Linked DNA regions of Sus scrofa. The protein of the gene in region 1 interacts with the protein of each later gene in a pairwise test. Links are inferred from orthologs where the notes say so. Each region holds a gene or a part of one and is shown in the gene's direction. Other genes may lie near its edges.

What was found.
Region 2: the proteins of RBFOX2 (region 1) and QKI interact in binary tests that used the Homo sapiens proteins (3 or more experiments, as listed by UniProt). The link is inferred for Sus scrofa from reciprocal best matches to the Homo sapiens genes RBFOX2 and QKI.

Annotation. Positions count from the first base shown.
Region 1 is NC_010447.5:11,807,902-11,811,949, forward strand, and holds the start of RBFOX2 (RNA binding protein, fox-1 homolog (C. elegans) 2), read left to right. Parts: upstream 1-1,248; 5' UTR 1,249-1,487; coding exon 1,488-1,514; intron 1,515-4,048. UniProt on the Homo sapiens protein: RNA-binding protein that regulates alternative splicing events by binding to 5'-UGCAUGU-3' elements. Prevents binding of U2AF2 to the 3'-splice site.
Region 2 is NC_010443.5:4,880,442-4,884,646, reverse strand, and holds the start of QKI (protein quaking), read left to right. Parts: upstream 1-1,405; coding exon 1,406-1,547; intron 1,548-2,027; exon of another isoform or gene 2,028-2,831; intron 2,832-4,205. UniProt on the Homo sapiens protein: RNA reader protein, which recognizes and binds specific RNAs, thereby regulating RNA metabolic processes, such as pre-mRNA splicing, circular RNA (circRNA) formation, mRNA export, mRNA stability and/or translation.

The DNA of each region.
Region 1 (4,048 bases):
TACTAGGGATTATAACATAATAAATATAGCATAACTAAGAAATGTAATAAAACCTTCAGGATTTTATTTCTTAGAATACTAAAAAAAAATGAGAGCATCTTTATGTTTGAGAAGAACATCATAAACTCATCAAACATTCCCATAGGTTACTTTGTTTGAATATTTAATAACAGAAAATAGGGAGATTATGATGCTTATATTCAGAGGTTAAAGACTTTTCCAAGATCACTTATAAAGGGGAGAATTAGGACTTTGACCAGGACTTTTGGACTGAATCATACCTTTGATGCTTTTTTTCATTACGACTTTTTACTAAGAGAACTTAGAAGAAACTCTTATATTCAGTGAACATTCTCCCAAACCTTCTGCATCTAATAAGCACTCTAGAGTAACGGTCAGTAGTTACAGTAATGGCACAAATGTCATGGTATATATGTCAGTGTCTGTAAGAAAGGGTTTATGTTTTTCAGTAGCAGCTGAGATGCAGAAGGCTGGGGAACACAAAGGGCACATTCTGAGTTAACTACAGTTTTTAATAAAGCTGGAAGCCTTGAGCAGTCCAATTTGTATCCACCTTAAGTTTCTTAAGCAATCACCTTTTTCAGATCCCCCTGATTTTTTTTTACAGTAGAAAAAATAAGCTCTTAAATTACCTCCCTTCTTTTTCAGTCCTTTGCAGCCATTAGACTGGTTTAGGACAAGCAGGTTCTTGCATATTTCCATTCCTTGAAAACCTTCCAGTCACGGAGCAGCTTTTCTCATCTTTTATTAAATCCACTGCATCTGTAGACTGTACATCAGTGGAAATGTTTTTTTAAAAATAATTTCTCTTTCATTTATTTATTATCAGATATTCTTAGATGGAATATTTTAAATCTGTATTAACTGTGGTAAGCTGCCGTGAATACTTCCTGTGTATATAATTAATGCCACCATCGCAGATACTCACTCCTTAAAATATGCCTGCACATGGCGCCTGCCCTTCCCTCTCTCCCCCTCCTTCCCTCCTCCTCCCTCTCTCCTCCCTCTCTCTCTCTCTCTCTCTCTCACTCACACACACACACACACACACACACACACACCACGCACGCACGCGCAAAGCACACACCAAACTGCCATTCTCCAGCAGGCCTGTTTCTGGAGTTGGGAGATGTCAGCCTGCGGGGAGGGGGCGGGGGGAGGAGGAAGAGGTGGGGCTCTACTCTGATTAATTACCTTCGGCATTCAGGGGTGGGGCTTCCTTCAGCCATCTGCCTGAGATATGGGAGGGAGCTGGAGAAAGGAGGAGGGGGAGAGACTGCCAGAGAGGAAGAGAAAAGAAAGGAAGAAACACTAGAAAGAAAAAGGAAGGAAAACGGGATAGAGGGAGAGCAACCGCCCACCCTTAAAGAGCTAGGCTGGGGGGGGAGGGGGGAGGAAGGAGAGCCGTGGAAGGTGTGCCCCAGCACGACTGCTCTGAAGTGTTCATCTTCTGTGCCATTCGGTTTATGGAGAAGAAGAAAATGGTAACTCAGGTAAGATTTGTGTTTCCTCCTGTGTTTCTTTTCTTGTTTCTGAGATCTAAATAAAGATATGGGGGTGGGGCATAGTCACCAGAGTTTTAATTTATTAACCTTTTAGAAAGGGACAGAATTATTGCTAGCAGCTGAAAAGTGTTCGTCTGTGCCTGTCGTGAGTCGTGTGTGTGTGTGTGTTGTGTCCGTATCCTTTTTTCTCCCCCCCTCCCCAGCTCCGTAGCAGATTCCTGTTTCCTGTGCTGTGCAGCTGGAGCTCAGTTAAGACCCTGTGGGGATTGGTCTACCTCTTTGTCTTGGTTCTGAGGAGAGGGAGGGAGGGAGGGACCACAGAGGTAGGGAGAGATTCTTGTAGACTGCCAAAAAGAGGGCAAGGGAGCTCACTTCCTTTTAAGAATTGCAGAAGAATTTGCGTTAGAGGGAAATCTCATTCCGGATTCACTTCGGGTTCTCGGGATTGGCTGTGGAATTGTAGTTCTGCTCCCTTTGCTTTAAATGGCTTATTAAAAATGAAGGCTGGAAAAATGTTTCATTTTCGTGTCTTTGTTACTGGCAGAGGATGTTTTCAGTGAGAGCCGTAGCATCCAGGTGCAGCAGAGCCCTCCCTGGCAGAAGAACAAGTCTGAATGTATAAATGACAGTCCACGGGCATTAAAAGACATCTGAAGGAGAGGGAGTAGGAAATGAAAGCGCGCTCTCTCTCTGTCTGTCTCTGCCTGTCTTTGGCTATGCCAGGCAATAGCTGCATTTTAGCAAGTCATTCCTGACAGATGGAAAGGTGAATATTCTTCCCTGATTTCCCCCGGCAGTGCTCTTTTTCTTCTTGGCAACCTTCTGTATGTCCCTTTATGCTTTTTTCTTTATATGTGGGTTGAGAGACTGATTTATCAATGAGGATTATTTGCATTGTGGCACATTCATGTCATTTAAGCTCAGACTTAGGATCAGTTTCACTCCAGGCTTTTATGCTCTGTAGGGAAATTTCATCACTGGACAGTGGTTTTCCTTTTAAGGAGGTTGCCTTTTTTTTTTTTTTTTTTTTTTTTTTTTTTTTTTTAATATTCTCTTGTCTCGTTTCTTAAGTCACCACCGGAGGGCGAGAGAGTCAGCTGGCTATCTGGGTAGAGCATCATTTTAGGAGCTGGAACCCTGTCCAGTTAAATGTTATATAATGCCCCGCAGTGCTGTTTGGAAGGAGGTAAGGCGTTAGGGAGATTTTCCCAATGTGACCTAGAGGAAAGGGAAGTTTCAAAGAATAATATCTTTCCAAAGTCAGTTTTTTTTGTTTTAGCAGTTGCTCTTCCACTTTCTTATCCCTTCATCGTTAGCCTGATTAACTCGTTAATCAAAACATTGCTCTGCCTTTTAAAAAAGAGAAAACGTGTTTCTGGCTTGTCTTTGTTGCTTGGGAGACAATACTTCTTAACCCGGGAGCCCACATCCAGCTTTCCTTAACTGCCATATTAGAGGGTACAAGCGCTCTTTCTCAGCTACTACCAAAGCCTTTTCAACTACTTAACTTTCCATTATAGATGTTTTTAAATCAGTGAAAGAGTTATCTAAGCTAGGACTTTTTAGAATCAGAGGCTTTCCATGGCCTGTTGGAGCATTTCCCCTGAGTTCTAGAAGAGCAAGTGTGTACAAGCCCAAGTTAGGGTGCACAAGCATTTGCACACCTAGTATTGTGCGCTTAATAATCAGTATTGAAGGAAACTATAATTTTAGGAACGAAGCAGAAGAGATAAGTAGGAACTGGGAAGAGGGATTTCTTTTTTTTTTTTTTGGTGGTTAAGAATTCTAGTAGATTAAAATCATGATTTTCTCAGTGCGTGTGAAGGCTGAAGAAGTAACTCATTTTTGCCTATGCTGAATTTATACAAAGTATAGAACATCAATTTGTGAATTTTCACTATGCCAGCATGTTTGTTTTTTGTATACACTTTCTATGTTAATGTAACATACATAGTTGATAGTAATCTAGAGGGGGAAAAATCAAAGGAAATAACCCATAGGCCAGATTTTTATTTGTCCAGGTGATAGGCACGTGGGTTCAAGTCCCAGTCTGAGTTCTGGCTGGGTTCAAGTCATAGTGTTGTCAGTTTTGCTATGGATTTTTTTCTGAGGAGGGGTTATCCTATTTGTTGTTGAAAGGGAAAGTGTACTAGGCCTAAAGGGGTTTCTTTGGTTTTTGTTTTTCTGAGCCAGACCTCAAATCCCACGATTTGGTAATGATATGTCACATAAGCTTTCTGAATAGAAATTATCTGCAGTGTTTAGGGTTCAGTTATCAAAATTAAACAGTCTATTGGGGTCTTTAGTGTCTTAACTAGTATATTAGGAAAAGTATTTAGCTATCTTTTCACTCTTTTGTCACCGGGTTCCTTTCTTTAACACCTCTCTCTGTCCTGTACTATCCATCGCTTACTCGGTGCCAGAAGGTGAAGGACCTTCAGCAGATGACGTTCTTGTCACACAGTTAGGTGCACACTGTGCAGGCTTTACTATGTAGGCTCTGGTTTTATGAGGCTGGGTTT
Region 2 (4,205 bases), on another chromosome or scaffold:
GGCCCGGCCGCTGCGCACAGGGCTCTCCGCACCAACACTCGGGGATCGGCCCCATCCTCGCTCTCCCCCTTCCCGCCGGCGCGCCCCCTCCCCCGCCCGCCCCACGCAGGCGCGCGGCAGGCCCCGCACCTCCCCCTTCGCTCGCGGGGCCCCAGCGGGGGCGGGGCGACCCTCGGAAGGGGCGTGGCCGCCGGCCTCGACGCACGCACGCGCTCTCGGACCTTACGGCTACGTGTCGGGCCACGTGACGCCCACCCCGAAAGTCCCCCGTGAAGCAACAGGACGTTAAAAAAAATTTTTTTTCGGGGTGGCGGGGAGGGTGGTTGGGAGGCTTTTAAAGAACCATAATAACGGGGGAGAGGATGGGGCCGTGCGGCGGCGAGCGCAGCCCTGGCGCGCCGTAGCCCGTCCCGCTGGAAATCCCTCTCACCAAACGCCACAGCCCGACCGCGCCCGCCAGACGAGCCGGCCGGCAGCGGGGAGCGCGAGGCGACGCGGCCCGCGCCCCCGCCCCAGTCGAAAGCACAGCCACCCGGCGCCCTCCCCCGTCCGTCGGCCCCGCAGCGGCCCCTCCCTCCGCTCCTGCTCGCCCGGGGCGCCCACCCCGGCGCCCAGGCCGGCTCGCCCCGCGCCGCCTCCGTCACGCTGCCCGCCGCCGGCCCTTCAGGCCGCCCACCCCGCCGGAGGGCGACGGCTCGGCGGCGGCGGCGCCTGGGCCGGGGGCTGCGGGGGGCGGCGGCGGCGGGAGGAGGAGCGCGCCGGCCGGGCCCCGCTAACGGCCGCCCTGCGCGGCCCCGCCCGCCGCCCGCCCCCGGCCCTCCCCGCGCCGCCGCCCCTCCCCCCGCGCCGCCGCCGCCGCCGCCGCTGGCAGCGCCGCCTGAACTGAGGCGAACTCCGCCGCCAAGTGAGTGAGGAGGAGGAGGAGGCGAGGAGGAGGAGGAAGAGGAGGAGCGGAGTCAGAGCGCGGCGGCAGCGGCAGAGGCGGCCGCGGCGGGGACCAGCCCAGAGAGACCCCGAGCCCGCGGCAGAGGCGGCGGCGGCGGCTGAGCGGGCGCGACCAGCCGAGCGAGCGGCGGCGGCCCGGCTCCTCCTCGTCCGGCGCCGAGCGGCCCGCGCCCGCACTCGGCCCGCGGAGACCCGCCTCCCGCCCGCCGGCCTCGTGAGGGACGCGCCGAGCCGGCGGCCGAGGAGCGGCGGCGGGCCGGGAGCGCGTCGGGCCGCGGGCGGAAAGTGCCTGCGGGGGCGGGGAGAGCGCGGCGAGCGCGCGGTCCGGCCGCCCCGGCGCCCGGCGCGGGAGCGGAGCGGAGCGGGACGCCGAGTCCCGAGCGGCCGGCGGCCGGGGCTCCCCGCCCCTCCCTCCTCTCCGGCGGCGGCGGCGGGCGGAGTGAGCTGCGGAGCCTGGAATATGGTCGGGGAAATGGAAACGAAGGAGAAGCCGAAGCCCACCCCAGATTACCTGATGCAGCTGATGAACGACAAGAAGCTCATGAGCAGCCTGCCCAACTTCTGCGGGATCTTCAACCACCTCGAGCGGCTGCTGGACGAAGGTGAGTCGCCTCGCCGGCCCCTCGGGCCCGCGCCCGGGCGGCGGCCCCTCTTCCCGGGACCCGACGCCCGCCGGAGTGGGGAGGGCGGGAAGGTCGCGGCCGGCGGGGACCGTGCGCCCGGGGACGGAGAGGCCCGGGCGGGGCGCACGGAGGCGGCGCCGAGGCCGGGCTCGCGGGGCGCGCCGGGGCCGGGGCGCGGGCGGGACCTGCGGGCGGGACGCCCCCCCCCCCCGGCCCCTGGGCCCCGGGTCCCGGCCCCCGCGCCCCGCCCGGGCCGGCCTGGGCGCCGGCGTCGGAGCGCTGGGGGAGCCTGCAGGCCGGCCCTGCTGCGCCCCGGCTCCCGGCCGCGCCTGCGAGCACCGCGACGGCCCGCAGCCTCGCGGGCCTCCGGGGGAGCGGCCCGGCCTGCCCGCCCCGCGCCCCGCGGGCGCCTGAAGGACACCGGCTCGGGGCCGCTCCCGAGGGGCCTTCCCGCGGGTCGCCGGCGCTTCCCCCACTGGGAGATGCCGTGGGGCTTTGGGTTTTTCGAAGTTTGCGTGGCTTGTGAGTACTCGAGGGGAGTAGCGTGGGCTCGCTAATTGAGAGGGGTTCCACAGCCGACCGAGAGTAACGCCGCTTCAGCCCGGGGCGAGGACCGAATGACAGCGGAAAGCACTTTTTGTCCTTTTGTTTGGGGAAGCGAGAACTGTTGGGGAGTTTAACTTCACTTCGGGGGGGGGTGTGAACGCGAAATACCGCGAGGACAAGTGTAAACGTAATCCCGAGTTTCAAAGAACTTCGGCGGAGAGCTTCTCCCGAGGACGCCGTTGCCTTAGTTTGCAAGACAGGAAATCAAGACGTTTGAAAGGGCGACGATAAAAACGAGTAAAAGTTTGCCAAAACGCTGTGTTGGTGGAGAGCTGTGAGGAGCGACGAATGTCGAGAAGATTAATTTTGACCCACTCTGGAATTACTTTAACAAGGTCTTGTAGCAGTGACCCGGAGTGTTAATTTCTGGTCGCTGTGCACGTCTGTGGACGCCGAGGGAAAAATATGACCAACAAAAATGTCTGTTTTGAAAGTCGAGTAGCAAGGAGTTTCTCTTTTCTGTGTAGAAGCATCCCCGGAGGACTGTTAAACGAAAACGGAAAAGTATATTTTATACAATGAACAATGGATTCCAGATTTTTCACAAGAATTTTGAGGAATTTTAACCATATAGAGCTGGAGAAAAAGGAATCTGAACATTAGAGAGTTGGGATGTCGCGAAAGAACAAAAGACCGGAAATGTCTCCGTGATAAAAGGTGGTTAAAGAAGAATCCCTGGAGCTTTTCTTGTTTTGAAAGTCACAGAAACAACTTAAAAGTACAGAACTGTTAGATTTTGTACTTTTTTGTACGAACCAAACTCGTACTGCGAACACATTTTTTTGCTTACGTGTGTTAAGTATACAGCTGTGGCCCATCTTGAAATGAGCTTTTTCCTAGTTGAAACAGCAAATTTGTTAATATCAAATTGTTCCGGAGAAAACTTGAGCTGCCCCTTTAAGGGATTCTGCTTTTCCTATTTGTGTTGGCATTTGAAAGATTGTGGAGGCAGAAAACTTTCTGGAATGTCAAAAAAAAAAAAAAAAAAAAAAAAAAAAGCTGGAACTCTTAAATTGAGTATTTCCAAATGTGGGCGCTAAGGGGCGCCAGTTATTTTTTTTTTAAACATGAGAAATGTTTGGAGCAAAATGTGGACCATAACTTAATAACCTGACCTATATTGCAACTTAAATCATAGATCATTTCCTTTGTCATTTTGTGTCCATATATGTATTTGAAAACATTGAAAACACTTTCTTTAAAACTGTTGGAAAAATTTTATCACATTGCTGAAGTAATACGCTATTTTTTTCTGGGCATATTTTGATGAAGGTTAAGTTTTACTAGTAGTAAAAATTTTTAAGATTTTTTTTTTTCCTTAAGCCCAGTTGTGTAGAAGGAATCCTTTATAGTAAATGAAAATTGACTACGTTAGAGTTAAATTGCATTCTTTAAATTAATATGTTGAATTTAATCAAACAGCATAGGAGATTATAAAAAAAGTTTAGAAATATTTTCACTTCATTTGTACTATTTGAAGTAAATAATTTGAGTTTGTCTGATTACTTCTAAAAGCCTTCTCGTTTGTACTTCCAAGTTCGTCTAAAATCTCTAAATGATAATTTGGAGTTCTGTGTTAAAAAGTTTCTAACCTTTGGCTTGATTTCTAATCTTCTAAATCTATAATTCCAATTATATTGTTATTTCTAATGAAGGTTTGTTCCATTTCTCTCTGGTTGGAAATAGTAACCATTTGAGTTTTAAATGTTGGACACCACATTTTTTCCCCTTTTAGTGGGGCTTAATCCATCTCTTGCCTTAGTCTATCATTTAGTCTTTTCAGCTCTTAAGGGTAAAGATTGCTTCTGTATGGTAGCAAGGATGTTTTAAAAAGGGACAGCATAATGCCTAGGAAGTTTGATTTTTTTTTTTTTTTATCAGACCCGTACAAACATGCAGGAAAAAGGGCTATTCCTTAGTGTGGAATAAGCTGCTTCCTATAATTGTTAGCTTTATTATAAACAATTTGACTTGAGAAGAATATTGGTTTCTGAAGTGCATCGCATTTTTTCTATTCTGGGTGATTTACTT